Linked DNA regions of Rattus norvegicus. The protein of the gene in region 2 purifies or fractionates together with the protein of the main gene of each other region. This does not show direct contact. Links are inferred from orthologs where the notes say so. Each region holds a gene or a part of one and is shown on either strand. Other genes may lie near its edges.

Region 1 (3,519 bases), on a different chromosome or scaffold from region 2:
CTCTTCTCTCTCGGTCTTTGTAGATGCGCATGAAGAGTGTTAGCGGTGGAGAACATCCACAAAGGACAGAGATACGTGCAAGCACCCCTCTGGTGGTCAAAGTTTGCCTCTCGCAACATGTCACTTCAGACATCAATCACAGGTAGTTCCTCGAAGCAGCTCCTGCCCTCCAAAAACTGTCCCCAGCACGAGCGTGCTGTGCGTGACTGTCCCACATAGTGGTGTTTTTATAACGAGACAGATCTCCTGGCCGACACAAGGAGACCTGATAGACACTGGAGACATAACAGAACCAGGGAGGAAGCTGGTGCCCTCTACTCCCACTCAGAGCGTGCTCAGGCTGGGACATACAGTTTCACACGCAGGAGAGCCACAGAGAGCCACAAGCACCTGCTGCTTCCTCTTCCCACTCCAGCCTCTCCTGCAGTCTCTTTAAGATGTCAGACGCCCAAAGGGAAATGGGAAGAGGGGGAGAACACACTGTGGGTGATGGAAAACAAGATTCCATTCCCAGGCACGCACGGGCATACATGGGAAGGCCAGCCAGCCAATACCAAGGGCTTTCTGGCTTCCTGCCTCCCCCTGCTCTTCCAGGACCACTGACTGCCCGCTCTGACTCTGCGGTAAGGCTCAATGGATTAAAAACTGAAGAGGACTCAAGTTAAACGCACCTGCACCCCCCCCCCAATCTCCCCACAGCCTCAAAAGCCATTGGCTCCCAAGTTCCGGGAGCAGTAGGCTTCCAGGGAATCAAGTCTCGCTGACCCAGAAGGTCCATACCCTGCCCGTGCTCAGTCGATATGGGATAACCACAGGGATTCCGTCATCAAAAACCATTAATTGGCACTCCACGTGGCACCTGTGGAAGGGCCAAGTTGCAGCCCTTTTCAGGTCTGGGAAGCAAATTAACAGAGACACGGGAGGGAAACCTTTAGCCCGTCTCCAAGTGCAGGGCAGCAGGCTACTTCTGCGCACGACTCTGCAGACATTCGCATTCAGAAGCTAGAGTGATCAGAAACAAAGCCTGCCTATTTGTGAGACCTTCTGAGACGCGTCCCCATTCTCCCATTAAGAGTAGCAATTAATTTCTGCTCCAGTGTTCCAGGTCAGATGTTTACTGAATCTTCTGCCAACGAGTGAGGTCTGGGCACCGAAGGTTAGGGCGCCTCTTTCTCAGCCCTTCCGAAACCCCACCCCACAGCCTTTAGCGTCCACTCCGCAATCATTTCTGACTTTCTGTATTATCTACCCAGAGCTTGCCCCGAAGCATCTCTGTATCTAAAGCACAGATTAATTAAAACAAACACAAGCCAAAGATTAACAATAACAACAAAGAAAGCACGCAGCACGCAGCACGATACAAAGTAGCCAATGAGTATTTACACTGCCCAGAGAAATCCCCTCTGCTCACGCAGCTGGTCAAATACACCTGCCGCCAAGCCTGGTCCCCTCACCATTCCCCCCCTCTCCCAGGTCCCAGTAAGGCTGGCCAATCACGACTGGAGGGCCCTGAATGAGAGACTGGCTTAGGAGCCCAGGTGGCCCTAGTAAGCAAGCAGAATGGGAGGCAAGCAAGGGCAGTGTAGAGCCACTGAGGCGGCCACTTCAAACCACTGCTCAGCAGTGTGGGCCCCTCTGGCCATGACTTTCCTTCCCGTATGAGTGGGAAATCTCCCAAAGAGAAGTTGACACACGGCCAGACAGTTCTAAGAATCCTCAGCTCCCCGTGATGGTTTCTAAAAGCCACCAGCACATACAGTTAGATCTGACAGCAAAGAAACCAAAGGTCCAGGGGGCAAAAACAGACTCTGCCATTCAAGCTTCCAGAGGAAAGACAGCAGCTGACAGATGGTGGTTCCTTAGGAAACTATCGCCAGTCGGCCGTGCGGCCGTCGCATCCGACTAGGTCCAGGGGATGTGTTCGAGTACGTGTGCCCTGCAAGTGATAAGTCTTGTGGCAGCCCCAGGCCCAGCGATCTAGATCAACCTTCCCTCTCTCGAGCTGGTCATTTAAGGTGAGACAGGAGGAAAGGCTCAGACATGGATGCACTGGCCTGAAGTCCCAGCGTTTGGGAGTTGAAGCAGGAAGACTGTGAGTTCAGGGCTAGCCTGGGTTACATAGAAAGGAAGGAAGAAAGGAGGCAAAAGGAAATAGGGAAGGAGGGAGGGAAGAAGACAGACAGGGAGAGAGGAGGGAAGGGCAAGAGAATATATAAGGGAGGGGATACAGGAGAAGCAGAGGGAGAGAATACACACAAGGGCGGTTCCACTGTGTACTGGAGCACATTCCCGACTCCATCTAACAGAAAAACAATCTCACTTTTCTCACATACCCCTCCCCTTTCTGGGTGAGCAGTGAAGCCAGGCACCAACCTGGAGGTCCTTCCATCTAGGTATGTGAGCAGGTATGTGGTACGGGGACCTGACACACATCCCACCCTGTGAATGACATCAACCCTTATCTGCTCTGCCAATAGCATGTGCTGTGGTAACAAGAGTTTACTAAAGGCTTCTTCTGGCTGCCGACACACAGCCTGGCCTTGGCTCTCTGCTTGGCCAAGCAGTTCAAGTCAGAAAGGGATGCTCAAACCAAGCCCAAACCACCTGCCTGGTTCCCACCCGGAAGCTCGATAGCTCTGGTTCTCCCCAACACTGATGTTTTTTGTTACGGTTCACATCTTACAGTCTCCGGATGGTAGGGAGGGGAAACCTGGAGCTCAGAGAACACGTGGCCATAAATGTCAGAGGTGAACTCCGACCTCTCAGACTCCCCCTCCACCTGCCACTTCCTGTTAACCTGGGTGTATGTGAGGAACTTGTAAAGGTCTTTCTATCTTTGGCTGTGTTGTTATTTCCCTGATGACTCTGTCAGCTCTCAAGCTCTCCTAGAACCATGAGCCTAAGCCTCTCCCCCCCTCCCCCGTTCCGGTTGCTCACGTAAATGTACGTGAGCACTCCACAATGGCTACCATTTACACATCTGACATTCAAAATCTGAACTCAGCAAGGAGTGAACAGCGAGGAATTAGTCATGCTAACAGGCGGCTGGGTGCTTTCTTGATGGAAGGAATCACCATTCACTCCTTCTAACAACCTGTCTGTTTAGACTCCACCAACCACCTGAGGTAGGAATGGATCCAGCAAGGCAAGCAGAGAGAAATCTGCTTCCCGGAGTGGGACAACGATACTCACCAGGTGGGGCATCAGGAGGTCAGCCAGGTAGACAAAAGCAGCTCCCAGGGTGAAGCCTACGGCCACTGGGAAGAAGGCGAAGGCACCAAAGCCCCCTGAGGAGGTGGCCATCTCAACCGCTGGTGCAAGCAGCGACCAATAGGAAGCTGCTAACATGACCTGGAGAAACCACAGGGAGAAGCTAGTCATTAACCAACCATAAGGCTTTGAGGGGGTAGGGGAATAACCCATACCACTCCCACCACCCCCCCCCCCGAGGAGAAAGACCAGCCCATAAGGCTTTCTGAGGAGGGAGTCCTCCACCTTCCAAGAGGTGGAAAAACCAAT
Region 2 (4,032 bases):
CTCTCTAGAACATGTCTTCAGCTGTGATTTTTTTTTTTTAAGGACATGAAAGATTTTTCACTTTCTAATGGCTCTTGTCCAAAAGGAAATAGTATTTCAAGTCATGATGACTTCACTCTCAATTAACCTGTGTCCTAAGGTCACAAAACAAGACACAGGAGGGTGAGGGCAAGAGAAAGAATCCACACTGAATACTTTCATAAGTCCTCAGTAGCTACTGCGGGTCTTCAGAGTGATCCTGAGAGCTACCAGGACATGGACTATATTATAGTTCCAGTCTTAAGTAACTGACTCTTGACAGATGTTTGAGAAAGCTAAAATTCTGTCTATTATAAAACTGAAAGAAAGCTCAAGAAAAAAACTAAGCATATTTATATTCAATCCCTTTCCCAGTGCCCCAAGCAGGTGTCTGCTTTGTGTCAGTGTTACTTGATGGAAATCGTAGATAAAGACAACTTTATTCAAATGTAAGAGTACAAAACTTTGATCTCAAGTTCTGAAAATACAGCCTTATGTGTTTGCTAAGTTAATATGCAAACTTTCGGTCTTCTATTAAGTCCTGGGATAGTTTTGCAGCTTAAGGCACCCCATAAGCAGAAACTAGTAAATAGGGACATATTTCAAAAGAATGACTGTAGGTCCCTGGAAACCGACAAGAGGGTTTTATTTTACAAATATTTACATTTTAAAGGAGGAGAATCGGAATAAATAACTCTACATTTTCTAAAGTAAAAGATTCCAAGGAAAGTCGGAACCCTTAAAGCTAGGAAAAGCTCTCTTTAAAGTTTGTAAGAGAGAGCTAGTGTTTACTGATTAGGTGCAGTTTGGAAGTTCGGCATCAAGGAAATTAAAGCGAGTTTGGTATCGCTCACGTTTCCCCACATTCTTTCGTCTTGTTCAGGTGACCCATTCCAGCCTAGCTGTCTCACTAATAGGAAGACTCATGAAGAATGGAAAGCCTGGAATAGACCGCCCGGCTGAGGGTCCCACAGCCACGCGTGCGCAATAGGCTCGAACACCCTGACGTCACTGAGCGCGGCCCGCCCCTACATATTAGCAACCGGAGGCGTCCGTAGCAGCAGTGGCTGCGGAGATGTACGAACTTCCGGTTGTCCCCGCAGGCCGCCGCTGCCGCCGCCGCCGAAGCCGCCCGGCGCAGTCTCAGCCACCTGCTCTCCGCCGGAGAGTGGGCTCTGCGGTTCCGGCGCGCCCATGGTCGGCGCTGCGGACCGGGAGGCCGGCCCGGCGGCTGCGGCGTGCTGAGAGGCCGGCGTGGAGACCATGCCGACCCGGCGCGGCTGCTCCGGGCCTTGCCACTTCCTGGCCTCGGCTTTCGTGCTGCTGTTGCTGCCCGCGCTGAACCAGTCCGTGGTGCTACCGTCGACTGTGCCCAGGGCGGTGCAGGAGTCCAAGCCTCTCGAACCCGGGCCGCGTACGTTGTCGCCGCTGCCTCCCGGACCCACCGCGGCCCAGCCGCGAGGCCAAGCTCAGTCTGAAGGCGCCGGGCCGCGAGGCGCGGAGAGCCGCAATGGCAGCATTCCCGGGGCGGCGTCCGAGGCGGACGGTCCTGAAGGGAAGGCCGGAGAAAGCTCTCTGGGTGGCAGCCTGGCCGTGAGTCCCAATCCTAGCGACAAGCCCATGACCCAAAGGGCCCTGACCGTGTTGGTGGTGGTGAGCGCCGCGGTGCTGGTGTACTTCGTGGTCAGGACCGTCAGGTGAGGCATAGCCTCGATGGGCATCCCCTGAGGCCTAGAGCTGGCTGACAGGAGGCCTGCTGTGTGAAGCAGGGAGAATGTTTGTAACCTGGGCTTCACTCACCCCCTTCTCTGGTCCCCAGTCCCCAGCGTCAGGGGCTGGAATCTAGGACCTTCTGGTTGGCTGTCTTAATGGCCTGTGCTACCTTAGCAGGTGACACCAGCTGTTGCCTTTCATCTGTAATTCAGTAACCTACCTTCAGCATCTTGCTCTCTGAGACTTGCCTCTGCCTTAATATACCCCGAAGTGGAAGTGCTCTCCCATCCCCTGAAATTTTGACAACACTGCTGTGCGATACTTTACATACTACTCTGCACTTGGTGTAACTCACCTGTCAGTGCTGTCGCCTGTTAGAATGCAGTCCTATTTGTCAGTCAGGGTACCACGAAAGTAAAAGCAGAAAGACCTAACGGACCTTTCACTTCTGCAAAACTTACCAGTTGTGTTTCTTAGATGGAGCCCTTGATCTATCCCTAAGTAACTTGTACTCAGTTTATTGGGTACTACATCTCTGGAGAGGTATCAAATAGAGAAGACCCCACCAGAAGGGGGTAGCCAAGAGAACAGCTGTGGAAAAGCTAATGGTTTTTCCTTTCCCTAAAGTAAGAACAGATGGTATTTTGTGAGATTTGTACTGGTTTATTTATTTCCTGTTTTCCAAATTACTTCACACTTTCCCCATAACTACACACTGCATTAGTTAATATGTCTTTAAATCCCCAAAACAGAATTTAGTGTTTTTAAAAGGTGTTTGTGAATGGAAAACCAACATGACTTGTCTCAAAGAATCTTACAGAATTTGTTCCTTTTACACATCTTCATTAGCTACAGTTTTACATTTGTTTTCCAAATAATACATTATCTTACAAGTGTATAAAATACAAACACTTTACTGGTAAGGTTTGAAATTCTACATTGAAACTGATAGCAAGGAAGTCCGCCCTGTCTAGTTAGTGTTGTATATCTTCTTAAAGAACAATCAAAAATTGTGTATTAAATTGATCCCTTCTTTGCCAAGGTGATACGTTCTTGCTGGTGGATTTTCTTTATATCCATTAACCAAATATTACAAATGATTGGATGCAGACAAAAATTTTACAGTCTATGGTATCTTTTCCTTTTTCCCATTTTTTTATTTTTTATACATGGTTTAGGCCAAATGTTAAATAGATTTTTGAAGACAAAAAAAGTCATTCTTTTCACTATTTTTGGTTTTAAGAACAGCTAACTTAAGGGTTAAGGTTTTTAAATCAAGTGTTTTCTTTGTTCAGATCAGGTCAGAATCTACATAGCCTCCCGAATTCTTTAATAAGTTTTAAGAATGGAAAGGAATTTAAAGCACTTAAGAGCGCCTCACATAAACAGTGTCATTGAGCTAGAAACTGTTGATTTACAAAGTTCAGAAAACTTGTCACTTTGTCACTGGGAAGTTAGTATTCAGAAGTTATTAAAAGCTTACGACCACCAAAGTGAGACTTAAGAAATCTTAGCGGAGAATTAAATCATTTTTACTATGTAGTTTTTATTTAATACTGTGCATAATTCCTGTCAGGACCATGTTATCCTTTATAGAAAGCATGGCTATACTGACCATTTCCTTGACGTGCTGCTTGTTCTTGTGTTTTTATTTTGTCCTCCCTTACTTGGCATCTTCTGTAAAAATGGTCACTGCTATCACCTCTCTGTGTTCCTTTCAGTACATCTTGAAAGGACTCACCCTTTTCTGATTCTCGGATGATTCCGTATCCTGTGGTATGAGAAGAGAGAGCCAGATTTAGCACTGTTGCTGATAAAAACTGCATACTTCAGGCAGCGTCTAACCCGTTGGTGTACTTCAAGTTCTACATTTAGTTGGCTGTCTAACATCCAAAGCTTAGTTGATGCTGACTAAATCTGGGTATATCCAGAACTCTTCCTCTTTCCTTCCAGATTGTGCTTTTTATCCTCATTATGGTGGTTGCTCACTCTGGCGCCTTTCCCAAAATATGTGTGACAGAGAACCAGAGAGGCTTATTTGTGTCGAGGAGTCCGTTCCCGAACCATTTCCATAACCGATGACGTGGGGACAAACTGATTATTTTCATTGGGAAATTTTATTATGTCAAACTCTACGAGACTTTGAAAATGTTTTGTCTTAATCTAACTCAGCATCACAAATACTTGGGTAGAAATAACTTATTTTGGCAGTATAGAATTACTCCAAGCAGTGACATTCTTTCTGTAGAGGAACTTGAATACATCGCTGGAGTACCGTAGGAGCAAATTAAACTTCATATA

The links.
Region 1: the proteins of Fam174a (region 2) and Slc39a11 purify together in Homo sapiens (co-immunoprecipitation; 3 studies listed by BioGRID and IntAct, counting the BioPlex papers as one, with this or other methods). This does not show direct contact. The link is inferred for Rattus norvegicus from reciprocal best matches to the Homo sapiens genes FAM174A and SLC39A11.

The regions. Positions count from the first base shown.
Region 1 is NC_086028.1:99,068,946-99,072,464, forward strand, and holds part of Slc39a11 (zinc transporter ZIP11), read right to left. Parts: intron 3,352-3,519; coding exon 3,193-3,351; intron 1-3,192. UniProt on the Homo sapiens protein: Zinc importer that regulates cytosolic zinc concentrations either via zinc influx from the extracellular compartment or efflux from intracellular organelles such as Golgi apparatus. May transport copper ions as well.
Region 2 is NC_086027.1:103,189,045-103,193,076, forward strand, and holds the start of Fam174a (membrane protein FAM174A precursor), read left to right. Parts: upstream 1-1,218; 5' UTR 1,219-1,281; coding exon 1,282-1,715; intron 1,716-4,032.